Linked DNA regions of Canis lupus familiaris. The protein of the gene in region 6 binds, or shares a complex with, the protein of the main gene of each other region. Links are inferred from orthologs where the notes say so. Each region holds a gene or a part of one and is shown on either strand. Other genes may lie near its edges.

Region 1 (4,238 bases), on a different chromosome or scaffold from region 6:
GATGTTCTATTAAAGTTTTAGGTATAACTGAAATTTGAAAGTAGAACCTTGTGATTAAAAAGAGAGAAAATATTTAGAAAGGGCACCTTTCTCTTCTTTCAGCAGGACCCTCTCCAAAAAGTGTGATGGGCTCCCCCAAGGCTCTAAGGCAAGCCTTGACCTCTGAGTCATCAGTGGAAACATTGATTTGCCGGGCTCGCTTTCTTCTCTCAAACTCAGCTAACACTTCGGCCTGTCGTTCACTGATGTGCTCTTCAATTTCAAACACCTCTCCTATAAGAAGAACAGGTAATATCAGCATTATCACTAGATCTTCAAACAGAGGGGAAAATAATTTCTTACAATTGCAGTCTGTGTATCCTCTAGGAACTAATTTATTACATACTTTATTGTTTCTCAGTTTATTAAATTTTGCTAAACACAAAAAACTAAATGATAGCTCATTTAAAATTACTTAAGTCATCTTTTTTTTTTTTTTTTAAAGATTTTATTTATTTACGAGAGAGAGCGAGAGAGACAGTGCAGGAGTGCAGGGAGGAACAGAGGGAGGAGAAGCAGACTCCCTGTAGAGCAGGGAGCCCAACACAGGGCTCAGAACCTACCACCCTGAGATCGCGACATGAGCCAAAACCAAGAGTTGGACGCTTAACCAACTGAGCCACGCAGGCTTACCTCACATCATCTTGTTTTGACAACCTTACATCTACATACACACATAACTTAGAGGAGATCAGAAAGTAGAAGTACAAAGCACTTTCAGCAAATGAGTTAACTAGATCTTCTATCCAGAAGATAAAATAGATACAGTACTTTAACACTTGCCAAACCTATTCTCTAAACCAGCCCCAGCTGAGGATATCTATGACTTTAACTAGTAAACTGGAGAAAATTACCATTAAAGGGCTTTCCCTTAACTATAGACTTTTTGGATAACCTAGCAGTTAGTTTTAAAACCAACACTGGGGCATCTGGGTGGCTTAGTCGGTTAAGCATCTGCCTTTCGCTCAGGTCATGATCCCATAGTCCTGGGATCGAGTCTCAAGTGAGGCTTCCTGCTCAGTGGGGTATCTGCTTCTCTGCCCCTCCCTGGCTCATGCTCTAATAAATAAATAATAAAATAAATAAATAAAACACACACTGACTATGAGGATTTTTTTTTTTTTAAGTGTGGGTGTGGAGCCCAACTCTGGGCTTGAACTCACAACCTTGGGTGGTTCAGCGGTTGAGCATCTGCCTTCGGCTCAGGACATGATCCTGGAGTCCCAGGATCGAGTCCTGCGTCGGGCTCCCTGCATGGAGCCTGCTTCTCCCTCTGCCTTTGTCTCTGCCTCTCTCTGTCTCTCTCTCTCTCTCATAAAAAATAAATAAAATCTTAAAAAAATAAATAAATAAAATCTTTATGGGATCCCTGGGTGGCTCAGTGGTTTAGAGCCTGCCTTTGGACCAGGGTGGGATCCTGGGGTCGGGTCCCATGTCGGGCTCCCTGTATGGAGCCTGCTTCTGACTCTGCCTATGTTTCTGCCTCTCTCTCTCTCTCTCTGTCTCTCATGAATAAATAAATAAAATCTTAAAAAAAAAAAAAAAAAAAAAGAAAGAAAAAGGCTCTCTAGATGATGCTAACCAGGGTAGGCAAAGGATGGCCTTACATAGATCCAAGTTTAACTAACATTTTTGATATTATAATACAAAGATAAAGAGGGACTCACAATTTGCATCTTACCAGAGGTTATGTTAATATTTCCTGCTTCAATTCCAGCTTTAAGTCCTTCTTTTCCCAAAATCCCAGACTCTCCTTTGGCCAGACGCTCCCTCTCCTTCTCTTCCAAACTTCCGTAATAGATGTGTGGTTTCTTCACAACAGGAGCAACTAAGTCATCAGGTGCCTTAGTTTTGGTTGCCTGATAAATCAAAGACACGGATTAACCTAAGGTCTGATACTAACCACTTATTAGGCTTCCCCCAAAGGATGGAGCTCATCCTGAGCTTCAATCCTATTTTCCCCCCAAATGAAAAGGACAGGTCGGACACCAGTTCAGGTTATCTTCACTGACTGGGGGGCGGGGTGTCTCTCCAAGCTACTTAGGTTCTGCAGACGGGAAGAGGCTAATAGAACTAGTCCATCATTATTCTTGGTAACTTTTCTATCAAAGATTTGCTTTGGAACATGTCTGCATCATTCCGTGGCAACCTCTTCTTGGGTTTTATGAAATTTCCAAGGTTACCCCTCATCACAGGGGCAGTATCAAGGAGAACAACCAACGCAGTATTAAAGGGGGGCAAGTTAGTTACTTTTCGGTACATTTCAAACGTTTTCAGAGTAAGGCAACACATATGAAGTTAGGAGGCCAAACTGCAATGAAGTCTGACACAGACGTGAATCTGGGCCTTCTAGAGCTCAGGTTTTGGAGCAGTCGGAAGAGGTATTTACCGTTCGGGCCTGTAGTGAGGGGTGCAAATGAATTAAAACACGGGAACGGGGGGATCCCTGGGTGGCTCAGCCGTTTAGCGCTGCCTTCGGCCCAGGGCGTGATCCTGGAGTCCAGGGATCGAGTCCCGCATCAGGCTCCCTGCCTTGAGCCTGCTTCTCCTCCCTCTGCCTGTGCCTCTGCCCCTTTCTCTGTGTCTCTCATGAATGAATGAATAAAATCTTTACAAAAATAAAAATAAATAAAACACGGGAACGTACTTCGGGGTCTGGAAAACGCTGCTCCTCTAAGGACCGAGTCTCTCAGCCTTTCACCTCCGACCTCCACCGCCTTAGCCCGTTCCCCGAGGGACCCCATTTCGCAGGAACCGCCCCCCCAGCCCCTTCCGCGCTCCCCGCCAGAGTGAGTGGAGTTCCGTACCGTGGAGGCGGCTCGTGAGGAAGCCATGCTGAGCTCCGCGGCCGCCAAACCCCGGCGAAAGCCGAGCTCTGCGTTTTCAGACCGTCCACCGCGCGCCCGGCAAAGCGGAACTGCGTCACTGGCCGGAAGTGGGCCGACGCAGCGTCGTGGGTGGCGTGGGGCATGACGGGAGTAGTAGTAGGGAAGCGTCGTGGCGCCAAGAGTAGCGTGAACTTAAGGAGAAAAGCACGCGGCGGACGAGACTCTGCAGAGCAGTCTGGGAAGTGTAGTCCCGCTCGCTTAGCTGAAGATTCGCGGTGGGCGCCGCCGGGGTTCCGGGAGGAGGCCGAGCAGGCTTGGAAAGAGGTAGGTGCGTCGGGCCGCGCGGCCGCGGGCTGAGCTCCGGAGCAAATGGAGGGCTTCCGAGGCCTGCCGTGGCCCCCGGCCCCGCGAGGGGCTGCGGTGGGCCCGGAGCGGAGGGCCAGGTTGCCATGGAAACCCTCGCTGTGGGCCCGCGGGTGCCACTCTGCAGCTGGTCGCCCTCCCCGCTGTCGGGAGGTTGTCCCAGGGCCCTCCTTGGAGCGGGCTGAATGCGCAGTGGATTCGGGCGGCGGCCACCAGCTCCCAAGTAGAACGGAGGCCCGGAGGAGGAGCCACGGCCTGCTTTTATTGCTGGTCTTCAGCCGAGTGTTTGTACCGGGGTCGGAGTGAGGCGATGCCTGTCAAGTGCACACGGGCACCTCTGCACGGCCTGGGTACCGCGGGGGCGGGGGGGGGGGCGGGCTGCGGCATCCGACAGGAGCAAGGCCAGGGCTTTCCCCCCTGTCGGGGGTGGAGATGCTTGAAGTTTGGGTGATTCTCGGGCCGGACGGAGGCCCCCCCCCCCCCCCCCAAGGACAATTAGGATGATAATAATAATAATAATAGCTGGTGTTTATTGGGCGTTTACTAAATGCCAAGTTGTGTTCCAGGCACTTACACTGCCGTACCTCACTCAGTCTAGACAACAGAGGGCAGAACATGAGGAAACCAGCGTCCACTGTGAAGATGAAGCTAGTGTCCCAGAGGGTTGGCGTGTGGGATTAGAGCCCCTGCCCTCTGCCCTTGGGCCTCCTGAGCGAGCAGCTTTGCCCATCACTCGGTACTGCCTCCTAGTGGCGAGCTTTACAAAGTTTGCAGAAAAGTGAGGAACCTGTACGGCAGGGTTTTTTTTTTTTTTTTTCCCTCCCCTACTCTCCCTTGGAACTTCGGCTTCCTCTACCATTTGTTTACATCGGACTTAAGAGAGTATCTGATTTATTTCTTTGATTTTACCTTTTTTTTTTTTTTAAAAAGGGAAGATTTTTATTATTAAGTGATTCTACACCCAATGTGGGGCTCAAACTTAGAGCCCCCACATCAAGAGCCCCATCC
Region 2 (3,752 bases), on a different chromosome or scaffold from region 6:
TGTGTCTCTCATGAATAAATAAAATCTTTAAAAAAAAAAAGAATTGGAGAATTTTAAGAGTCAACTTTGAGAAAGAGATAGGGAGAATATTTTCTTCTCAGTAGTCTCAATTTAAAATTTTATGTAACCTGTATCAGGGCCTTTCATTCTCCTGTAAATTCTTGTCAGGATTTCTTGTTTTTCTTTTTTATGTTTTGCATGTTACATAATAAAGAATAGAGAAACAAATTGGAGAAATGAAATTTAAAATGTTTTGCAGTCTTGCTAAAAGGATATTATGGCTATAGACTAAAAGTAAGGATGGGCTGGTTCATGGATCTCATTTACTTAAATTTGTAGATCTTTTCCATTGTCAAAATTAGACTGATTATATGGCTACTACAGGTAAATTTCTTTTCCTTTAGAATTGTTTAAATATTTAATCAAATATTTAAATCTTAACAGTGAGGGATATTAGAGATAATGGGAGACTTCTAATACATTTATATAACATTTCATATATCTACCATATTTGGTAATCACCAAAATTACCATTATATTTATCTTTTAATTTTTTTTTTTTTTTTTTTTTTTTTACTTTTAGCAAAGTGTGGGATGCTGTCTCAGGAGATGAATTGATGACCCTGGCTCATAAACACATTGTCAAGACTGTGGATTTTACACAGGTATCAGAAAATAGAATTTATTTTAGAAGGTTTAGATTGCTGTTATTATATGCTGTAATAATGGTTGTGTATTTGGTTTGTATATTTATTGTATATTTGGGGGGATACAATTTGTTTATATTTGATTTAATTACAGATTAAGCTATACAGATTTATTTATTTGATTAATCCTAAAGTACTGTGGAACTCTTGGGTCAGTTCTTCCATCAGTAGCAGCAGACATCTAAAATGTGCAAGTAATGTTTCCTCAGTACTTTCAGAAGGGAGAGGAAAAATTTGAGGTCATCAAAGAGGTGTTTCTTAGGAGGGAGAGGTGCAGGATCAGGGCAGAGGAAGAAAATTAATATGGTAGGTGGTATAATATATTTGAACTGGAGAGCTTAAAGGGTTTTGGCAATTATGAGAAAGATAAATGTTTTCTAGAAGCAATTGGCATGTATTGCATCTCTTTATGAAGTCTGAACTTTATTTGGATTTTAGTTGGTGTTAAAATTTTAAAGAGATACAGCTATTAAAATGGCTAATCTGTTAACATTTTGCTTGTGTGTGTTTTCAGGATAGTAATTACTTGTTAACTGGGGGACAGGATAAACTGCTACGCATATATGATTTGAACAAACCTGAAGCAGGTGAGCATAATTTATATGTCTTTGGATTATATTTTCTTTTAATTTAAATGAGTTTTTAATGTCTCTTTATTTGCTACATTGTGCTTGTGTAGTTTTCTTGCAAATTAAACACTTACCAGTTTATCATGCTAAATTTTTATCATATTAAGTTTAAAAAGGTACAGAGCAGTGTTACTACCTTTGGGAGGAAAGAATGGTTGTCTATAGAAAGTGAGAAGGGTAAGATTTTTTTTGTGTATATATTCAGATTTTTAAACCATGTGAATATATTAGCTAATCAGAAGAATTTTTTTCTTTTTTTTCAGAAGAATTTTTAAAATTAAAAAATTAACATTTTTTTCATGTCTTTATTCTATCCACTGTTTTTAATGACTATATCATTTTCATCCTATGAATAAGTGGATTAACCCATCTCTTATTCTGGTCCATTTGGGCTATTTAGAAATCTTAAATATAAGTAGTGTTATGCTGAACATTCTTATAGTTGGCAAATATTTCCGCAGTTATTTCTATAGAATAACTACACAGAAATAGAATTGTTGGTACAGAAAAGAGGTACACTTGGAAGCCATTGGTAGGTATTACCGAAGTGTGCTCCAATGAAATCTAAAAATATATAGCTAACCTGTTCTGACAAGGACCAATAACTAATTTTGCCTTTCCCAATTTAATAGAAGAAAAGTGATTCTGTGATCGTAATGTGAACTTGAAAAAATTATTCATGAGATTAAAATACTGTTGAATACCATTTTAATGTATTCTTTTGTGAACTAATAGTCTGTTCATGCCCTTTGCCAATTTATCTGTTAGGATGTTCATCTTTTTATTAGTGGTTTTAAGGTTCTTATCTTCTAATTTGTCTTTTGCTTTTAAATTTCGTTAATAAAGTTTATGGTATACGCATTGTAAAGGCTCTGGTGGTGGAATTTATCATTTACTTTATGAATTCTCTTATTGCACAGAAGCTATAAAAGATGCTTTTTCAAAACTCCCTGGTCCAGATATTCGTCTCTTTTGTAGTTTCTTAATGCTTTTCTAGCCACATAGTATATATATTTCAAAAATCAGCAGATTATGATAAACAGGGTTGTATTTATTTTATATAAGTTGGTATCTTCTATATTGTATCATGGGTATTTATTATTTATTCGTAATAAATCTATGAACGTCAGAAGTTTGTATGAAAGTCAAAGTTACATTGGATATTAAGCAGTTATTCTCAAGATACTCTTTTCTAAAAGCATTTCTAAGGCGAGCAAACTGACTACATTTATAGATTATTCTTCACAGACCCAGTGGTATTTCTTTTCATTTTCTTTAATAACGTTATGCCAAAACATAAAGCATTTGGACCTCATTTCATCATGTATCTTTCTGACTCAGCAAGGTGGTTCAGGTCTTAGGCGGACATTTTTCCATCTTTTACCTTTCTCAAAGCTGTTTTTTGAAAGTGCCTCTTTACTGTATTGTCAATAGAAATAATAGCAGTTAACTGCTTTTACTGTATGTCAGACTCCAGGTTAGAAACCTTAGATGTATATTCTCATTTGATCTTCATTCTCAAGCTATGAGGTATATGGTAACTATTGTTATCCCATTTTGCAGATGAAGAAATGGAAAGGGTTAAGTAACCTTTATTTCAACAGGTTTATTTCAACAGGTTAAATGACTTGCTCAAAATTGTGTTGAATGGCTTTGCCTCCAGCATCTGCTTTTGCCCAAAGATAAGAGTAGGGTTTTTTTTTTCTTGTTAATCTTTTGCAGGGAAAGTCTCCAGCAGAGACAGATCCCCCCCCCCCTTTTTTTTTGATGCTTTGTTCTCAATGTAGAAATATTCTTGGGAATTACTGCATTGCTTTTTATTTTCCTTTTCTCCTGTCAGCCTCTACTTCCCTCTTTTTTCCTGTTTCTACCAACAGGCTGGGAGGAGGGTCCCAGTGTTAGTGATATGTTGGATGAGCTTCTTTTATTTCAGTGTGGTACAGTTATGCTACTGAAAGCAGAAACAGCCTGGAGGGAGCAATGCATTCACTCCCAGATACATATAGCAGCATTGCTCTTGGGTTCTTTGTCATGCAGATAAATTTTTAATCCAGTGTAGAAAAACTAAATGTATTCTGTGGAAACCATAAGTTTTCATTGTGTTGGGCTTTGAAAAGTTGCAGCTTAATTTAAAATGTACTTCTTTTTTCTTCACATAGTTAATTGTTCCAGTATTGCTTAGTTTAAAAAACCAAATATTAACAAATATATTCTACATTGTTTCATTTTAAGAACCTAAGGAAATCAGTGGTCACACCTCTGGTATTAAGAAAGCTCTATGGTGCAGTGAGGATAAACAGATTCTTTCAGCTGATGATAAAACTGTCCGGTAAGTAATTTTTCTTTAGTAATTTAAAGTTTGAAACATTTGACCTTAGTGCTTATATTTTAAATATTTCTCATAACTGTATGTAGG
Region 3 (3,752 bases), on a different chromosome or scaffold from region 6:
TTCAACAAACAGAATGAGAGCCCAAGAGAGGTCTCCACACCCCAGGACTCTGCTCTGGGGTTCAAGACAGTTCCTCCTCTTAGGCACAGAGGCCAGAGGGGAAGGTGGAGACCAAGAGGCCAACACAAGGTCCCTGACTTCAGACACTTTCATTCCAACGAGGGACAACATGCCCGAGACAAACATTCTATGGGATGGCCCTCTGCCTCTGCACTCAAGGCTTCAGGCTCCCCACTGAATGAGCCCCTCCAGGCCCAGCAGGGTACCTGGCTCACCTCAGCACTCAAGGCCTGACTCCTCACTGACCAAGCACCCTGGGCCTAGCAGTGTACCTGGCTCACCTCAGCACTCAAGGCCTCAGGCTCTCCACTGACCGAGCACCCTAGGGCCCAGCATGGAACCTGGGTTACAGGGGGCCCTTATTAAACATTCATGAGACAGAAATAAACTGTCCTCCTGAGATGGACACCTGTATCGCTGGGACCCCAAGATCCTCATCTGCTGTTAGATGGGCTCAAGGGGGCTGCAGTGCATGGTCCCACCCTATGCACGCACCCCTGGGTGGTGGAGGCAGTCACGCTGACGACCATGATGGTGGCGTTGGTTAGGATCTGCTGTAGGTTTTCGTTATTCTTGCACTTGTCCAGGCTGTTGCCCAGCTCCTGGAGGTGAGAAGGCAAGAGGGGGAGGCACAGGGATTCAGGAAGGCCTGAGGAGCTCTCTTGCCCCTGCACCTAGTTAAGTCTCTTCTGGGGACATCTGGGGTCTGGATGAAGGCTGCCTGCTCCCAGCTCCCAGGACTTCACCACTCAGAACATCGGTACCGTTGCTCCTGCACTGCTGGTCTAGAACCAGAACCAGGCAGACCCACTGTCTGCAGCAACTCAAAATGCAACTTTGACCACACTGCTTCCTGCATGGATGCCCCCTGCACCATCCTCACCTCCTCCTGACAGCACACAGGAATCTCCTCACCGGTGTCCCCACTCTCACTAGTATCTGGCCCTCTCATGGCTTTTCCAGAAGGCCCAAAGCCTTGGGGGTCACAGGGGATGCAACCTCATTGACTTTGCCCTCACTTCCTCCCTTCTGAACATACCACAGCTTGTCATTATCTCCCGTTCTTGGTACTCCAGGCTTTCCCCCCCATATCTCTGCATGGCTGCCCCTGCATCAACCTTTAGATATCGACTCAATGCCACCTGCTCCAACCACTGTTGGTGGCATGAGAGACCCCCTCATCTCCCTCCTTACTCCCTCAGCCTCAAGCAGCTCCCAGCCCTTCCTGGGAGACCCATCCAAGGAAGCAGCAGGATTGGATGGGTGGCAGAGGAGCCATGAGAACATCCTTTCCAGGCTTCATCCCTTTCTTGCTGGGGAGCCTGGAGCAGCTGAGCCACCACTCGGCCCCTGCCAGTATCTGCAGGCCTCAATAACGAGAAAGGCAGCTGAGGCCTGGAGCAGCCTCACTAACCACATTCCAGGTCATTCACCTGCTCCCTGCTCCCCTTCACATGAGGGGTAGTCAAGAGAACTCCACTGTTCCTGAGTCCCCACCTCTGTCCACTCACCTTGACCGTGCGGATGTAATCCAGTGCATTAGGGACCAGAGACTCCAGTTCAGGGAAGCGCTTTGAGTACTTATCCCGGATGAACTTATGGATGATGTCTAAGGTAGGGAGAACAGGTAGCTGATAAGGGGGCAGGCAGACTCCACTGGCTGTCCGCAACACCCATCTCCCTGCTTCTTTTTAAATAAATGAACCCCTGAATTTAGCTGGGTTCGTGGGTACCCAGCAAAAACGCTACTCCCCTGCTGCCAGGTGTGGCCCTGCAAGTTAGTTCTGGTCTACAGGATATCATATGAAGTGATGCATGCAATTTCCAGGTCACCCCCTTAAAGAACTGTGCCCTCTTTTTCTTCCCTGTTCTGCTGGTGGGGATGTGGAGGTGATGACTGGAGGTGGACAGTCACTTTGTGCCCTGACACAGGTGGCAGGTCAAGACAGAAAGAGCCTGACTCCAGGGCTGGACTCCTCATCCAGATTCTCACATCGGAGAAAAGCACACTTTCTTTTTTTTAAGCTGCTGTTATGGCAGCTGAATCTGGACTACAGCTAGTATGAGGAGTCTGGGGCAGGATCTTGGGGAAGGCCAGTGGGGAAAGTAACCAGGGTCCTGCCTGTCCTCTCCTTGTGGATGGGAGGAGAGTGGAAGGGACAGCAGGCAGGGCCATCTCTGCCCTTCCTGCCACTCACTCAGCTCATTCTCGATCTCCACGGTCAGGTTGTTAGCATCCACGATGACTCGGTATTCAGGGGCCGCCTCAACAGGTCCCATCACTGTGAAGATGAGAAGCAGCCTTGGTGGGTGAGTGTCTAGGCTCCCACAGCCAGGGGAGTCAGGAGGTGTAGTTGGAAGGGAGCTGGGAGGCTAATAAGAAAACCTGGAGGTTTTCCAGGTTTTCCAGGGTTTCCACGCTGGCACACCTCCCATTTCTCTCTCTCCAGGCCAGTCTAGACACCACGGCGTGTCGCCCCGGAACTAACCCCTTAGGGGATCCCCACACCACTGAGGCCGAGGTGCAAGCTCCCCAGACGGGAAACACTATGAAGACAAGTTCTGCACCCCCAGTGCCCAGATGCCCACAATAGTGCCTGGCGCACGGGCACTGCTCTGTAGGTACCTGCTGACTCTCCAACTCCACAGTCTGGCCTTTGCACCGTCCAAGCCCCACTTTTTCAAGACACCACCATCTTATCACACACCAGCCAGGAAGGACTGACTGCAGTGCCCGAGCACTCAGGGCTGCTTCCTCTCCTCTGGGCCTCTGCATATGCTGTTCCCCCTCCCTGGCATGGCCCTTCCTCAACATCTGTTTCCAAAAGGTTCCTCTCCAGGTTTTAACAATGATGACAGTGAGAACATGGTCACAGGCCGTAGGTGCAGTGGCCAACACACATGGGACTCACCACGTAAGTGCCACTGCTCTATGTGCCTTACAGGTATTAACCTGTTTTACCACTATCATCTGGGGAGGCTGGCATCACATCAGACCATTGAGGCAGAGAGAGAGAAATGGAGGGATGTGGCCTAAAGCCATGGACCCAGCAGATGGCAGACCTGAGATCTAGCCCCAGCACCTGCATTCTTAACCCTGATCACTCAAATGTTTCTGCATCTTGAGACTCAGACAGCACCTCAGGATCCTTCCCTCCCCCTTCAGGAGGGTCAGATGTCTCCTCTGTGCTCCTGCGGAACTCCTGCCACATCCGTTAGACATAACCGCCACCCAGGTTGGAGGTGTTCTGTGTTCACCTCCTCCACCAAACACCAGGTGAGATCAGGTCTGACCTAACTCCGAGCCTGACCCGACATCAGGGAGTGTCCCTTCTACCGCTCCCCACAGCTCGCTGGCCTGGTGCTCAAAATCCTGCAGGATCTGGCACTTTCTCCTGCTGCCTCTGCCACTCCAGACATGTGAGGCTTTGCACACACAGTTCTCTTTCTCAGGGCATATAGCTGCTGTTCTTGGCCTGGTATGTGTATTCATGCTTCAAAGCCAATTTCAGGTATGGCCTGAGGCAGGGTCAGCCCCGCTCTGGTGGCTCCAATGCCCCCAGCTCTCCCCACCCCAGCAGGCACCGCCCACAACCACTGCCCAGACCTGACCTATCCGCTTTGCCAGACACCGAGTATCCTGAGAGCAGAGAGTTGGGTGGGTTCCCCAGTGCACCCAGTGCCCATGCGGG
Region 4 (3,752 bases), on a different chromosome or scaffold from region 6:
CGGTCAGAAAGTCCAGGTGTTCCAGTTTAATGAACTCTTTCCCCAGAATTTTTTAAACCACTAGTTTGTGAAATTAAACATTACAATGTTTCTGATTTCTGCTTTCAGTCCTCAATTATTCTCATATAAAGATCAGATTTTCTTTTTGGTCATAAAGTAGTAAGTAACTGAAAATGGAGTTAAGTGGTAGTGAGAAAGGAGAAGATCCACCACATAGAAAAGCCCAACTATCTTGGAACCATTTAAAGACAAATTCATGGGATGCTTAGGTGGCTCAGCAGTTGGGCATCTGCCTTTAAATCGGCATGATCCCGGAGTTCCGGGATCGATTCCCGCATCAGGCTCTCTGCATGGAGCCTGCTGCTCCCTCTGCCTATGTCTCTGCCTCTCTCTCTCTCTCTCTGTTTCTCATGAATAAATAAATAAAATCTAAAAAAAAAAAAAAACAAATTCATGAGGCGCCTGGGTGGCTCAGTGAAGTCCTTGCCTTCTGCTCAGGTCATGATCCTGGGGTCCTGGGATCAAGCCCCACATTGGGCTTCCTACTCAGCAGCGTGGCACCCTCTCCCTCCCCACACCACTGGTGCTCTCTCAAATAAATTATAAAAATCTTTAAAAAAAGACAAATTCATCTTAACATTCATAGAGATTGACAATACTGTGTAACTGGTGTTTTTCACAATGACCACTCACCTAAATTGTTTTATTTTTTTATTTTATTTTTTTCCTAAATTGTTTTATTTTTTTTTAAACTTCCTGGCTTTTTTTTTTTTTAATAAGATTTATTTATTTATTCATTCAGAGAGACCGAAGAGAGAGGCAGAGACACAGGCAGAGGGAGAAGCAGGCTCCATGCAGGAAGCCCGATGTGGGACTCGATCCCGGGTCTCCAGGATCACACCCCGGGCTGCAGGCAGCGCTAAACCGTTGCACCACCGGAGCTGCCCCCTAAATTGTTTTAAAGCAAAAAAAAAAAAAAAAAAAAAAAAACCCAAATAACCACCAATAGCCCCAAGATTAAATTCTCAGCCTTGTGTCTTGTCATTACTCTAAATTTCCCTCCCGAAGTGACAATGTAACCTTGAACTCTGGATCTAGTGGATGGATAAGTCTTCCAAAAGAAACTTCATCCTGGTACTTAAACATGGAGTTCATTTGAGATGCCTTTTGTGGTTTTTTGTTTTGTTTGTTTATTTTTGAGATGCCTTTTGACAATTTAGTTTCAATTAGCTAGCTAGGGATCCCCAGGTGGCTCAGTGGTTTAGTGCCAGCATTCAGCCCAGGGCCTGATCCTGGAGACCCAGGATCGAGTCCCACGTCAGGCTCCCTGCATGGAACCTGCTTCTCCCTCTGCCTGTGTCTCTGCCTCTCTCTCTGTGTCTCTCATGAATAAATAAATAAAATCCTTAAATAAAATAAAAATTAAAATCTAAATCAATAAATAAATAATTAGCTCTGTCAAACTATCTTCTAGAAGGAAATTTCAGGAAGTTTTCCATCCATCAGTTTTCTTTCTGTCCAGCTCCTAGGACCTACCTGTGGAAAGAGAGGTGCGATCACAGGGCCTGTGACCTCCTCTTCCCGCTCCAGCTGTACCAGCACCACAACCGGCCCACCACTGTAGGGGACAAGAGGGGGGAGCGCATCAGCACCGAGGTAGTGCGGTGGGATGGCCCTGTCACTGTGTGCCCAGCAGGGACCCTGGGGCAGGGCGCCCGGCCAGCCCTGGCTCACCTGCGGATGCTGTCCTTATCCACCACTTCGTAAGAAAGCTCAATATTAGGGTAGCGGTTGCAGAAGCGGGCCACATCAGCGATCTGGCTGTCAGACAGCTGAAGCAATGCATTTCGCTCTTCATCTTCCATCTCCATGATGTCAAAAACACTCTCCACTCCCTGCAGGGGTATTCAGAGGTCAGGGAAGGAGAACACAGAGTAACAGCAAATGGAATTTGGCTCGACAGCTGCTAATCTTACTTCCTATACCATCAGAGCATCCATACACAGCTTCAGAAAGAACACAGCCCACAACTGTACAACTGTCAGGCTCTCTAGCATCTCAATATGTAACACCCTCAGAGAAATTAGAACTCCCCCCTGCTCTGACTCACCCTTCCCCAAACACAACCCCCCCACCCCCCAAATCCCAGGACACCTGTCTCAGCCATCCAACCATCCAGGTCCAGACCCAACTCACCTTGTCTGTGCAACGTTTAATATGCTCTGAAGTGAAGTGTGGCAGCTGTTTCAGGTAGGAGTCCTTGGACCACATGGCTTGGGTTACCATCTGGGCCAGTTCCATAGCTGCCAAAGCAGGGCTAAGCCACCCATTGCTGGAGAGGACATCCACGCAGGCCTGAATGAGCCTGATTGCCTGAACCAGGATAGGAGTGCAAGAGAAGGAAAGGTTGGAACTGCTACTTCACAGGCCACCACCAGCCCCTCCACTCCATACCCACACCTGCACCCACACCATACCTTGCTAAGAATTTCCTCTGTATCTGACTGCAGCTCAGCACTCAGCTGCATGCGGGACAGGTGAGCTTGCAGAAGCAGGTTGGTCTTGACGTGTGGGTCATTGAACTTAGGGTTATTCAGCTTGTGGGGGACCTTCTGAGCCAACTGGAGAGTGGAAGAAAAATAAAGAGCTGGTAATGGACAAGTGACCCTCCCCAAGAACAGCTCTCAGGCCCAAAGTACCACCCGCTGCCGCAAGCTCACAACCCTTAAAAACAGAGAAGTGTGAGTGATGTGTTGGGGTCTTCCTGTGGTGGCAGAAACACGGCATGCTCTGGGCACACAGGCTAAGTTTCAACTCTAAAGATGTGGTCCCGAATCCACGATGTCCTCCTCACCTGTCGCAGGAGGTTATCTTCATGGTGCCGGATGGGAATGTTCTCATACTCTGCCGCATTGGAGATGATCTCGATAAGCCCTCGCACCTTGGTCTTGGCATTCAGGGACATGCTGAAGAGCTCTGACAGCCAAAGGTAAGGAGAAAGGGGAGGAGTCAGAAGCAGGTAGAAAAGGAGGAGGGAGGAAAGTTAACTGCCTGGGCTACCCTACCCCTGTACTACCCCACAATACATCCCTCTAATGAACACACAGGGTGCTAGAAGCCCTGTGCCCTCTCACCCACTGGGCTGCAGGCCCCTGCATGAGACTCCTTTAGCTTGGGCTCCCCAGACACCAGCCCCTGCCGGCCCCTCACCAATGGTGGTGTAGTTGATGTAATAGTAAGCAGCAATCATGCCCAGGTTCAGGGGTGCCACATCCATCTCGTCTTCAATGCTGATGCACTTGGACTGCTCCAAGTCACTCAGGGTCTGCTCCACGAGTTCTGACAAGTGGTCAGACAGGTGACGATGGGAGATGCCTGTAACGGTGAGAGAGAAGTAGGGAGTCACCAGGAGATGGCCGGCAAGGGCCATGAGAACCACAAAAGGATACTGTGCACTCCACAGTCCACTGACCCTGCAGGTTGTAGTAATTGGGGTTCTGTGTCATGCGGCGGTACAGAAAGGTCCAGGTCAGGTAGTCCACGGCATCCTGCTTGTTCTCTATGGTCTTGGTAACAATCTCAGCATTGAAGTGGTCATGCATACAGTGGTCGAGGTGGGACTCTACTGGCAAAGGTTCATATAAAAACTTCTTGAAGAAATCCTGTAGATTGGAAAAGGAGAGATGGCAATAAAGAGTCAATGACAACACGGTCACAAAAAAGGGCTAAGGGCAAATCAACAGGGAATGGCT
Region 5 (3,752 bases), on a different chromosome or scaffold from region 6:
TATCTTTGCTAAAGTCTTTGGATTCTCAGGTGACAGCCATGCCTGCAGGAGCTCACCCCTGACCTCAATTCTTTGTGCGTATCCCTGACTATGCCAGTGAAGTCCCCAGCTGTTTCACAAAGCAGGCTGGCTTGACAGGAAAACCGCACACCCTAAACACTCTTGCACTAGCTGGCCTTCCATGGTTTCTGAGATTTTTGCAAGGGATGTGAAAGCTCAGATCATATTTGTCCTGTTGCTCCATCTGTGATCTTCTAGGACCAGAACTTCACAGCCTCCTAAGATTTGAGAAACCACATACTGCTCAGCTGGCCTGATCCCACCAGCAGCCCATGCACAGATCCCTTCTCCTCCTAAACACATATTTATCCAAGCTCTGCTTGGCCAACACCAGCACTGGGAATGTACTATTCACAGACCAAGCTACTCCAAGACCTGGGCCAAAGGCCCAAGATGAGGGCCCCAGCACACAATCTCTACCTCAATTGAGGGCCTCAATCTCTACCACTCTCGCTTCTTAGTGTTGCACTGAAACCTCTTTCCCCTATAGCCACTCCCGTGGTTGCTAGTTGTGCTCGCTGCAGTCACGTGAAACAAGCTTGACCTCTTTTTCCACGGAGCAGCCCTTCCCATATTTAGAAGGAACCAGGATGTCTCCCTGAGTCTCTTCTCTCTAAGCTGGACATTCTAAGTTTCTTCAAAGGGTCTTCACGTGGCTTTTCAAGTCTCTAGAGCACCATTCTGCCATCCTGGTGTTTTTCTAAACACTGCAAGCAATGGGGGGTGGGGGGTCTATCTCTGCAGTCCCTCTACCCCATCTCCATGGTGCCTACAGGTCAGTCCTAGGACTGTCCACACCATCAAGCTTCAAGAACTGGTGGGCTTGGGCAGCCTGGGTGGCTCAGAGGTTTGGTGCCTGCCTTCAGCCCAGAGCATGATCCTAGAGACCTGGGATGGAGTCCCCCGTCAGGCTCCCTGCATGGAGCCTGCTTCTCCCTCTGCCTGTGTCTCTGCCTCTCTCTCTCTCTCTCTCTCTCTCTCTCTGTCTCTCATGAATAAATAAATAAAATCTTAAAAAAAAAAAAAAAAGAACCGGTGGGCTAATCAGAAGACAAAGGCCAAACTAGCTGGATGACAAGAAAGGAAAAATAGGCTAGAGATTAAAGAAGACACAGGAAGGTGCTGAAGGGTCAGAATGCAGCAGACTGGGCAGGAATGGTGGTGGCTCTCTGGTGGGAGGTGGTGACCCCATGTGTACCTGTAACTTGCAAGGTCAGGTTCAGAGAGGAACTCCCGGAGGAGCATCCCATCTGTCATGTAGCGGAGGACAGTTCGTTCTGATGTGCAGTCCTCAAAGCGGATGCTGTAGCCAACCTGTCAAGGGGACCATTAACGATCGAGATTGGGCTGGTACTCCTGGAAGGGAGTGCAGGGCTAGGGAATGAGGGGTCAGTGCCTGGACGTGTGGTGTGAAGCCCTATGCAGTGTGGGCTACGTCCCAGACCCTAGAGGCTCCCCTCCCTACCTAGGCCCCACAGATCTCACCTCATTCCCAAGCTTCACACCCATCTCCCGGGCCACTCGGGCAGCCACACTCATGGCTGCCACTCTCCGGGGCTGGGTACAGGCAATCTTCATTCCCTTTTTTGTGTATCCCTGAATGACAAGAGAAGAGGTTTTCCCTTTGCTAAATATATTCCTGAGGCCTAGGATAATTCAGAGAAAAAAGGTGTAAGTGCACGACAGGGCAGGGGGAGATGAAGGAACAGACAGAAACTGAAAACCCGACCCTCTGAGGGTCCCAGACTTTTGGGTGATCACATTCAGGCTCAGCTAGATCTGAGATGGAAAAGGACAGACCAACTAGGGCAGACCCAGAAGCAAGGGGGAGCCAGAGAAGGTGAAAAAGCAAGAAAATGAATCCTCTGACTCCTTGTTCTTTGTCCTTTGCAGAGGACCGATGGCTGAATGGGTTGGTATGGGAAGGTCCCAACCCCACCATCTACCTGTTTATGCATCTTTCCAACACGAATGCTGGCACTAGACACAGATACTGTGTTAGAAGTGAGAACAGAAACAGGAAACAAGTTTGCCCTTATTCTTAAACTCACAATTTAATGGAGAAGACTATGATTAAAGATGAAAAGGTAAGTGACTGCTCAAAACAACATGTGAAAAGAGCTCTGACAGGACTGTGCTTGTCAAGGGCCGGTGGCCGGTAACCTGGAGGGTGCGGATGACTGTACCTCCTCAAAGAGATACTGCGGGATCTGGGTGGTCTTCCCGGAGCCCGTCTCACCCTCGATGATGAGGACCTGATGATCAGCAATGGCAGCCAAGAGCTCCTCGCGGAATGGAAACACTGGGAGGCTGCGGCGGACAGCCTGCACGGACTCCTTCTGCTGGGCCTGGGATGGAGGCGATGGGCCTGATGGCTCCTGCAGAGGAGGAGGGGTGTGAGCTTCAGGGTCGGCTTCCCAACCTCGTTAGAACGTGCCACAGTTCTCCTGCTCACCTCGTTGCCCTGGAGCTGAGTGGCCCGGACAAACTCAATGGTCTCCTCTTCCTCCAGCACCAGCTGATACTTGGGCTCCTGGGAGGCAGCATCTCGGGCCCCAAACTTCAGAGATGCTGCCCCTAGCCGGGCCTCCTCCCAGCGTCGCTGCTCCTCCCCAGGGGCGCCTGATTCCTCCTCCACTAGATCCACAGCTCGTGATGGCTGTGGAGAGAAGGACATGTGAAGACAGAGGATGCCCTCTTCCCAGGTCTCTCCTCTCCAGTCACTATCCCTACCCACTAGGAAAGGCAAGACCAAGAAGGGGCCAGTGGAGGCCCTGTCCAAAGCCCTGAAGACTTCCCTCCACTCAGCTTGGAGAGCAGGGCTAAAGTGGACTCTGCTTTGCCTCACCTGGCCTCGGGTCTCCTCGGGCATGTGGTAACGATTGGTGGCCTCCAGCTTCTCCTGCTCCCCAGCCGCCCGGTACTCTCGGGCCAGATCCCGCACTCGCCGCTTGTATTTGAGCTCCCGCCGCTCATGTCGGCTCAGCTCTACATCCCCAAAAAGGAACTCCTCATCAGCCAGCTCAGCCTCTAGGTCCTCAAGCTTCTCTCGCTCCCGCTTAGCCAAGTACTCGCGGCGTGATTTCTTCCGCAGCTCGGGAACCTGGGTCAGGACAGGGTAGCCAAATCTTCATCTTGCTGGAACAGCAACCCCCTTCCTTACCTATCTGTAAGAGTGACAAATCCCCCAACAGGCCAGCAGTGTCCTTCTGCAATGTCCAACCTGACCTGCCCCAAACTGGGCCTCTCTGAAAGCCACACACTGACCCCCAACACTATCTTTCAGCAGCACAATCCAGCTTGAAGGCCCTTCTGGACAGCTTCGCCATCCTGGTCAATATAGATGCATTAGGGTTATTTGAATGTTTTAGGTTTTATTCTATTTTATTCGACTTAGTGGAAAGGAGGAAAACAGGGCAGCCTGAGAGGCTCAGCAGTTTAGCGCCGCCTTCAGCCCAGGGCCTGATCCTGGAGACCCAGGATCGAGTCCCATGTCGGGCTCCCTGCATGGAGCCTGCTTCTCCCTCTGCCTGTATCTCTGCCTCTCTCTCTCTCTCTCTGTGTGTGTGTCTCTCATGAATAAATAAATAAAATGTTTAAAGAAAAAAAAAAGAAAGGAGGAAAACTAAAGGGCTAATACCAGCATTTAGAAGCACAGGTCTCAATCTGAAAACAAGTGAGACTAATGGTAA
Region 6 (3,680 bases):
AAATGATTGGGGTAAGTACTCTGTTCCTCACTTGAGAGTATTTTTAACATGACTTTTAAAAACCATACAGTTAACTGGAAAACTGTTTACAGTGTTTAGTGAAAGAGCAAAACAAAGTATTACATATACATATTACACATTAAATTTAAAAAAATACATATGTGGACAAAAGTAAAATTAAGGACAATTATTCCTTTGATGATGTCTTAAAATGAAAATGGGGAAAACCTGGTTAGACGCTCTAAAGTCTCTTTTTTTTTTTTAATTTTTATTTATTTATGATAGAGAGAGAGAGAGAGAGAGAGAGAGAGAGAGAGAGAGAGAGAGGGGCAGAGGGAGAAGCAGGCTCCATGCACCGGGAGCCCGACGTGGGATTCGATCCTGGGTCTCCAGGATCGCGCCCTGGGCCAAAGGCAGGCGCCAAACTGCTGCGCCACCCAGGGATCCCAAGTCTGTTCTATTTCTAAATGGAGCCTGGTGTTTATGGAACCAAGACCGCCTGGGATCAAATGCCAGCTTCACCATTTATTAGCTGTGACACTCAGGCATGTTACTAAACCTGTTTTTCTATTAAGTGGGAATAATTTATCTCAAAAAACTGCTTGTAAGGAGAAACTAAAATATGGAACTGCTTGATATACAGCAGATGCTTAATAAATGTTAACTATTATTCTCTAACTGTACAAAATATATACATTCTGTTATTTGGAGTTAGGACTTTTTCTTTTTTAATTGAGAGAACGCTCATGAGTAAGTGAGGGAAGGGGAAGAGAGAGAGAGACTCTTCAAGCAGACACCCCGCCAAGCATGGAGCCTAATGTAGGATGGGATCCCAGAACCCAGAAATCATGACCTGAGTCAAAATCAAGAGCTGGCAGCTCGATCAACTGAGCCACCCAAGCACCCCACAATCCAGCATTTTAAATTAATGTTCATGAGTCCTTTGGTTTCTTCATTCCCTCTTAACTGAGCTCTCCCAGTTCTTTTCTAAAGATTTATTCATTTGAGAGTGGATGTGCAAGTAAGAGCATGTGGTTCGGGGTGGCAGAGGGAAAGAATCTCAAGCAGACTCCCCACTGAGCGTGCAGCCTGATGTGGGGCTCAGTCTCACAACCCTCAGTTCACAACCTGAGCTGAAATCAAGAGTAGGATGCTTGACCAACTGAGCCTCCCAGGTGCCCCCTGGAGTTAGAGGACTGTTCAAGGTCCAGGTAGAATGCCATCACATTAAGAACTGACCAGATGGCCTTAGGTGCCTTTTCTCCTCACTGTGTACAGCATCTGAGGGAAAGGAGGAGAGCTTTAAAGTTAGAACCCTCCAATTCTGGTTCCCCATTTCTACTTCCTACTTGTGGGGTAACCTCTTTGAGACTGCATTATATGTAAAAGCAGGAGAAAAACCAGAGGATGCCTGTGAGTAATGCAGTGAAATAAATGCAGAGAACCTAACACAGAGTCTGGCTCACAGTAGGGCTTCCCCACCTTAAAGTGGCCCTCGAGGCAGACTTACATCTTTGGGAGGAGGTCCCTCTACCGTCATTGAGACCAGGTTCTCCCCTCGAAGCAGCACCAGACCAAGGACTCGCTTCTCTTCTCTTTCTGCTTGTTTTGAGTTCTTTGGCCTGAGAATGGGTTTAGGAAAACAAATAAAAAAGCAAGCATTAGGAAAAGGGTAAAGCTCCATTCACCTGTCTAGGGGCCTCCAAGATCTGTTTTACACTGTTATCTCCCAACAAATGGTACAAAAACTTTCTCTAAGACAGTCTTCACAGGCTGAACTCACCACCCCTTTAAGTGGCTGTCTCCTACGGCAAGGGGATGCACTGACCAAGAGACAGGATACGAGTTAAAGCCCAGCCCTGGCTCAAATGTTAGTCCATAACTATCAGGAAGGCCTTTCCGCAGTCCAACCTTCTTTGACATTACCCTACTCCCTCCCTCCAGCTTAAGGCCTTGTCAGTGTGAGGAGGCAGCCGGAACAACTCAAGTCCACTGAACCCCACTCAGCCCTTTGCACACAACACCCTTCCACTACCAAGTCAGCCCCACAGAATGAGTCACTACAGCCCTCATCTCACCTCAGAAATAGAAACAATAAAAGAATTAACTATATAGAAATTACACCTCTGTCCTCAAAGCACAAAAACAGACATTCCCAATGTAACTACCAGAGCAGGAGAACAAATTATATAGGTGACCCTTGAACAACATGGGTTTGAACTGTGTGGGGCCACTTGTATGTGAATTTTTTTTTGATACAGTACTGCAAATATATTTTCCTTATGATTTTAATAACTTTTCTCTATCTTACTTTATTGTAAGAAAACAGTATATAATACATATAACATACAAAATATACGTTAATCTGTTTAGGTCATTGGCAAGGCCTCTGGACAACAGGAGGCTATTAGTAGTTCAGTTTGGGGCAGGGAATCAAAAGTTATACGTGGATTTTCAACTGTATGGGGTCAGTGCCCCAACCCCTGGGTTGTTCAAGTGTCAACTGTAAATGTAAACTGAGAAATAAACTGTAGCAAGATAGGGGAAGTAAAGAAAAAGCCAAAACTAATATCCTAAAAATAAAGCAAAGACAAAATGCTCTGATCTTTAAAAACTTATAGGTTTCCTTTAATATTTTTTATATTAAATTAACAGCAGTTTTCTGTGGGTGAACATTTCTTCCTTTTTCCTTATCTAAATTTTCTTTTTAAATAAAAGCATGTATTTTTCTTCCATAAAAATCAAAAAACCATATAAAACAAAAAAACTACAAAAAAAACCCCACCATTCTGGGTATTTAAATCTTCATACACTTTTATGTATTTTTAAAATATGTTTTCCAATAAACATTTTTTAATTATCAGAATAGTTTCATTAAAACAACAACAGGAGGGAACCATTTAGAATAGTTCTACGCTGACCTGCTGGCCCTTCTCTAATGTGTACCTGGCACTCAGCCATCCCTACCACACTGTCTCTTGTACTTCTTGACCTCTTGCCACAAAAAGAAAACAAGAGCCCTAAAGGGAATCAAAAGGAATTCATAGCTACCAACAACATAACATGGACCACTGCACGTGGCCAAAGAGAGCTGAATGATGACAGAAGTCACATAACCTCTTTGGGCCTCAGGATGCCTTGAATGTAATATGCACAAAAAGCTAGCCCACATTTTTTCATAGGCCAGAAGCTTAAAATCTGTGAGTCTTAAGACAAGGGAATTATCCAATTACATATAGAAGAGTAGAAAATATCTCTAATTGTGTCTATAAATGCCAACAAAAATCACTGGCCCCAAACCCACACGGGAAGCTGAGCACTTACCCTGAAGAGGGTCAGAGGCTTCTTAAAGCAGTTTCAGACCAGGCTGCATTGGGAGAGCCCTTTAGGCTACAGCTTTACAAATAGGCAATGAGGCCAGAAAATCAAGCTCTCCCCCCTTACACACCTGTGGGGAGAACATGAGAGCCCTTTACCCCAGTACCCAGGGGCACACAAAGTCAGAGAAACAAAAAGCCTAGCAGCCCTCCTTACAACTTTTATTCAGCTACGACTAGAGAGCAAGGCTTGCCGGGCTAATAACGAAGGAGATTTCTTAAGAGTCCAGCGTCCCCATTTAAATCTGCCCTCTAACACAGGAGAGCAAACCAAGGAACCAGCTGGCTACATCACTACCTGTT
Region 7 (3,752 bases), on a different chromosome or scaffold from region 6:
GGCCAACTAATTTCCACTCCTGCCCCTTCCCTCTGGGAACACCTCACACAAGTTCCCAAGTTCCAAACCACCGCCCCCCCAGGAACTTAGGGGTAAAGGAGGGGGCATCATGGCCTCCCAGACCCTTTCTAACTCAAGACCAGGGTGTCCCCAACTGTATCCTCCCCTCCCACAACTCCCATTCTCATTCCCACCCACCCCAAACCCCCCAAAAACGTGAACCAGGAAAAACTCACAGAGATTAACATTTCACAGGAACAAAGAAAAAGGGGGGGGGGGAGAGCCCGCCCCCAAGATGCTGCCGGGGCTCAAAGGGGGGCAGACAAGGACCCTTCCCACAGTTCTGCTGGGGAAAGGGGACACTCCCTGCAGCTCCGGAACTTGGGGTATGATAGAATGAGCCCCAGAAAGATTCAAGGAGACCTGCAACAGAAAGGGACAGTCAGGGAAGTGGCCCGCCAAGCCCGCACACTCACAAGGACACTAGCACCTGAGTGCCAGGACGACGCACCTGGAGGAACGGTGCCGCACAGGCCGGGGGCTGGGTGTCTCCTTCCTGCGCTTGTGGCCTGGGGAGCGGCTGTCCCCACGCTGGCCTCTGCGGGAACCCCGCTCACTGCTGCTGCAACAACACCGAGAAGAGATCAGATCACACACAAGGCAACATCAAACTGGCCCCTTTGGGCCTCAGAACTTCTCAGCAATGCTGGTCAGACTGGGCTTACAGACAGGAGGCCCTACCTCTGCTGGTCCCGTGGCGAGGGCTGGGGCGAGGGGCGGCGGCGCTCCGCAGGCGAGTAGCTGAGAGACCGAGAGTCTCGGAGAGAGTCTATTGGCTTCCGGGGGCTACGGGACCTGAGGAGCAGAGCAAGCCCCCATAGCACCACGCACTTCCAAAGCCGCCAGCCGACACTCAGGACCACCCCCCAGGTCCTGACCACCAAACCTCATACCACACAGGGCCAGCCTCAGACCCACCTTTGTCTGCTCACTCACCCATCCGCCCGCACACCATCCACCGAGTGCCCCAAGGGGCAGGGCACGGGGTGCAGCGGGGGATGCAAAGATAAAGACAATCCCTGCCCTTGGAGGGGCTCAGTCTGGTGGTGAAGGCAGGCCAAGGGAGGCCCACCTGGCCCCATGTATGGGAAGCAGCCCCACAAGGACCGATGTACGTGGGTCTGGGGACCCCGGGGGAGGGGATGTGGGGCAGGGAAGGGGCAGGGTAGTCTTCTCGTAGGTGCTGTTTGAGCGGAGTCTTGCAGAACGAGGAGTTCACCAGGCGGACAAGGGAATTCCAGGCAGAAGGAACAGCATGTCCAAAGGCATGGGGTTCTCCTTAGACTGCAAGGCGCTGGGTGTGGCTGGAGCACAGGGCATGTGTGGGGGCGGGCAGGAGAGGAGAACACAGGGCAGGCAAGGCCAGTTGGTGAAGAGCCTCACACGCCATTCCCGCAGAGGTGGGGCTTTATCCTGCAGGCCACAGGGCGTCCCGGAAGGATTTGTGGAGTGGAGGGAAGTAACCAGATGTGCGTTTTAGAAAGATCCCTCTGGCTACGTGTGGAAGAGAATGGCGTGGAGGCAGGGAGACAGGGAAGAGGCTGTGGACAGAGTCGGGAGAAGATGACGGTGGCCAGACCAAAGCCCTGGCAGTAGCAACGGGGAGATTTAAAAGCTAGAATCCCTGGGACCTGGGAGCAGGGAACAGGATGCATGTCAGGGGCAGGGAGAGGAAGGAACCTAGGACTACTCCACAATTCTGACTGGAGCACCCACTCGGATGGTGCAGCCCTTCGCCACAATGGGACACAACCAAGGTGGTAGGGAGAGGAGAGCCCGACTCCTCCCACATAACCAGACACCACAGTCCACCTGAGATTCCCAGCAGGGATCTCATGGGATCTCACACCCAGGGTCTCACCCCACCCCTTCCATCTCAAGCAAGGCAGCACTCACCTCCGCTCACCAGGGGGCGGCTTCTTAGGGCTTGCAGGTTTGGGCAAGGCCTGAGGGCCAGGCTTAGCAGGGGAGGGGGAGGAAGAAGTAGAAGAGGAGGAAGAGGAGGAGGAGGAAGAGGAGGAGGAAGAGGAGGAAGAGGAGGAGGACGAGGAGGAAGATGAAGAGGAAGAGGAAGAGCTGGAACTGGAGCTACTAGAGCGCCTCTTCCGCTTGGCTGGGGTAGGCTCCTGAGGACGTCCCTCTCGAACAGCCTCCTTTGGGGCTGGGGTGGGGCTGGGTACCCTGTGGGAGAAGCAAAGTGTCACAAGGAGACGAGCTGCCCCAGCCCCAACCCTACCTTCCTTGGCCTGGAGGAACGGCAGTGGGGGAGTGGTGCTGCAGAAAGGCTGTGAGTGCTCTCCAGGCCGAGAGCTCAGAGAGCCAGTGAGCGCGTTCTCTGGAGAGCAGTGGCCCCGAGCTGACCCAACCTCTGCTAAGACAAGCAACAGGCTGGGGCCCGCAGCACAAGGGATCAAGGCTAAACCTCAAGAATGTCCCTGATGGAATAAGGCTCCTGGGCTCAGGTGTGGAAGGTGAGCTGGGTGGTCTCCTTCCACGGAGAGCCACAGTTTGGGGAGGCCCCTGTGAGTGCAGGTTGGCTGGGGGAGGGGCCGTCCTGCCTGGAGGCAGGGAGAGGGATGGGATGACCTCTGAAGATCCTTCCAGCCCAGGGAGTTCCTCTTGAGGTCTAACTGCCATCCCTCCTGCTGTAAAATTAAGTCCATTTCCTCTAGTTCTGTCCTCTGTAGAGACGGAAAACTCATCATTATCCTCTAGAGAATTAACCTTAGGAGACTTTTATCTGACCCATTCCTCCCCCCCCGTTGCCCCCACCCCAGCATTCTCTTCTACCCCCAGCTTAAGGGTCAAGCTCCCCATACCTCCATCAAAGAGCAGAGAACCTCTGGACAGGGCTTCTCCCTCCCCACCACCAACCATCCCCAAAACCTGCCCCATAGAAACAGTTCTAAAAGTCAAGCCTCTCACCTCTTCAGTGCTACCTCAGGTTGAGTAGGAAGGCTAGAGCCCTCTGAGTCGCTAGAACTGGAACCGGAAGAGGAGGAGGAGGAAGAGGACGATGATGACGACGATGAGGAAGAGGAGCTGGAGGAGGAGGAGGAGGAGGAACTCCGCCGCTCCTTTGCCGGCTGCAGGGCGGCCAATGCAGAAGACTGCTGGGCCCCCGTGGAGACAGGTGGTTCCCCACCCTCAGGATGGGACATGCCAGGGGCAGGGCCAGAGAGCATGCCATTGTGGTCATCAGCAGAAGACGTGGTCTTGGCCACTGTCCCAGAGGAAAGGGACTGAGACCCTGCTGCAGGAGTGGTCTGGGCAAGCAAAGCTCGGGACTGGTCAGAAAAAGCAGATGGCACAGGTGACCTAGGTCTATCCTGAGCTGGAGGAAGAACACACTGTGAGGAAGCCTGGACCATTCTAGAGGCAGGAGAGGGAGCCCGCTCAGAGGTCATTCTAGACTGGCTCAGGGCAGATGGTGGGGTTCTGGAACCTGGCCCTCCTGGTGGGGTTCTGGATCTGGCTCGGTCAAGAAGCGGTGGTGAGGTTCTACCACTAACGCGCTCATAAGCAGAGAGGGGCACCCTGGGGCTGGTAAGGTTTGCGCCAGACAAGGCTGGAGCCATTCTAGCACTGGTGAGGCTTGCAGGTGCCAAGGCAGGAGGGGTTCTTGAGCTGGCAATATTCACAGGAGCTGTGGCATGTGTAGATCTAGGACCCACCAGGTTTGCAGGCGCTGC

The links.
Region 1: SNRPB (region 6) and PRPF4 share a complex: the UniProt entries of both Homo sapiens proteins name them as parts of the U4/U6-U5 tri-snRNP complex. The link is inferred for Canis lupus familiaris from reciprocal best matches to the Homo sapiens genes SNRPB and PRPF4.
Region 2: SNRPB (region 6) and STRAP share a complex: the UniProt entries of both Homo sapiens proteins name them as parts of the SMN-Sm complex. The link is inferred for Canis lupus familiaris from reciprocal best matches to the Homo sapiens genes SNRPB and STRAP.
Region 3: SNRPB (region 6) and PRPF31 share a complex: the UniProt entries of both Homo sapiens proteins name them as parts of the U4/U6-U5 tri-snRNP complex. The link is inferred for Canis lupus familiaris from reciprocal best matches to the Homo sapiens genes SNRPB and PRPF31.
Region 4: SNRPB (region 6) and SNRNP200 share a complex: the UniProt entries of both Homo sapiens proteins name them as parts of the U4/U6-U5 tri-snRNP complex. The link is inferred for Canis lupus familiaris from reciprocal best matches to the Homo sapiens genes SNRPB and SNRNP200.
Region 5: SNRPB (region 6) and DHX16 share a complex: the UniProt entries of both Homo sapiens proteins name them as parts of the minor spliceosome. The link is inferred for Canis lupus familiaris from reciprocal best matches to the Homo sapiens genes SNRPB and DHX16.
Region 7: SNRPB (region 6) and SRRM2 share a complex: the UniProt entries of both Homo sapiens proteins name them as parts of the minor spliceosome. The link is inferred for Canis lupus familiaris from reciprocal best matches to the Homo sapiens genes SNRPB and SRRM2.

What each region holds. Positions count from the first base shown.
Region 1 is NC_049232.1:68,050,483-68,054,720, reverse strand, and holds the start of PRPF4 (U4/U6 small nuclear ribonucleoprotein Prp4), read right to left. Parts: upstream 3,002-4,238; 5' UTR 2,874-3,001; coding exon 2,847-2,873; intron 1,899-2,846; coding exon 1,721-1,898; intron 274-1,720; coding exon 87-273; intron 1-86. UniProt on the Homo sapiens protein: Plays a role in pre-mRNA splicing as component of the U4/U6-U5 tri-snRNP complex that is involved in spliceosome assembly, and as component of the precatalytic spliceosome (spliceosome B complex).
Region 2 is NC_049248.1:15,359,167-15,362,918, forward strand, and holds part of STRAP (serine-threonine kinase receptor-associated protein), read left to right. Parts: intron 1-583; coding exon 584-665; intron 666-1,221; coding exon 1,222-1,294; intron 1,295-3,568; coding exon 3,569-3,665; intron 3,666-3,752. UniProt on the Homo sapiens protein: The SMN complex catalyzes the assembly of small nuclear ribonucleoproteins (snRNPs), the building blocks of the spliceosome, and thereby plays an important role in the splicing of cellular pre-mRNAs.
Region 3 is NC_049222.1:103,842,741-103,846,492, forward strand, and holds part of PRPF31 (U4/U6 small nuclear ribonucleoprotein Prp31), read right to left. Parts: intron 2,343-3,752; coding exon 2,259-2,342; intron 1,670-2,258; coding exon 1,572-1,669; intron 663-1,571; coding exon 556-662; intron 1-555. UniProt on the Homo sapiens protein: Involved in pre-mRNA splicing as component of the spliceosome. Required for the assembly of the U4/U5/U6 tri-snRNP complex, one of the building blocks of the spliceosome.
Region 4 is NC_049238.1:34,675,747-34,679,498, reverse strand, and holds part of SNRNP200 (U5 small nuclear ribonucleoprotein 200 kDa helicase), read right to left. Parts: intron 3,663-3,752; coding exon 3,473-3,662; intron 3,376-3,472; coding exon 3,211-3,375; intron 2,977-3,210; coding exon 2,855-2,976; intron 2,622-2,854; coding exon 2,478-2,621; intron 2,374-2,477; coding exon 2,197-2,373; intron 1,896-2,196; coding exon 1,735-1,895; intron 1,619-1,734; coding exon 1,537-1,618; intron 1-1,536. UniProt on the Homo sapiens protein: Catalyzes the ATP-dependent unwinding of U4/U6 RNA duplices, an essential step in the assembly of a catalytically active spliceosome. Plays a role in pre-mRNA splicing as a core component of precatalytic, catalytic and postcatalytic spliceosomal complexes.
Region 5 is NC_049233.1:606,520-610,271, forward strand, and holds part of DHX16 (pre-mRNA-splicing factor ATP-dependent RNA helicase DHX16), read right to left. Parts: intron 3,164-3,752; coding exon 2,909-3,163; intron 2,720-2,908; coding exon 2,516-2,719; intron 2,439-2,515; coding exon 2,247-2,438; intron 1,707-2,246; coding exon of another isoform or gene 1,657-1,706; coding exon 1,546-1,656; intron 1,375-1,545; coding exon 1,259-1,374; intron 1-1,258. UniProt on the Homo sapiens protein: Required for pre-mRNA splicing as a component of the spliceosome. Contributes to pre-mRNA splicing after spliceosome formation and prior to the first transesterification reaction.
Region 6 is NC_049245.1:19,129,802-19,133,481, reverse strand, and holds part of SNRPB (small nuclear ribonucleoprotein-associated proteins B and B'), read right to left. Parts: intron 1,623-3,680; coding exon 1,511-1,622; intron 1-1,510. UniProt on the Homo sapiens protein: Plays a role in pre-mRNA splicing as a core component of the spliceosomal U1, U2, U4 and U5 small nuclear ribonucleoproteins (snRNPs), the building blocks of the spliceosome.
Region 7 is NC_049227.1:38,751,230-38,754,981, reverse strand, and holds part of SRRM2 (serine/arginine repetitive matrix protein 2), read right to left. Parts: coding exon 2,986-3,752; intron 2,742-2,985; coding exon of another isoform or gene 2,729-2,741; exon of another isoform or gene 2,724-2,728; coding exon of another isoform or gene 2,647-2,723; exon of another isoform or gene 2,242-2,646; coding exon 1,957-2,241; intron 1,602-1,956; coding exon of another isoform or gene 1,440-1,601; exon of another isoform or gene 1,365-1,439; coding exon of another isoform or gene 1,340-1,364; exon of another isoform or gene 856-1,339; coding exon 742-855; intron 623-741; coding exon 512-622; intron 424-511; coding exon 414-423; 3' UTR 1-413. UniProt on the Homo sapiens protein: Required for pre-mRNA splicing as component of the spliceosome. As a component of the minor spliceosome, involved in the splicing of U12-type introns in pre-mRNAs.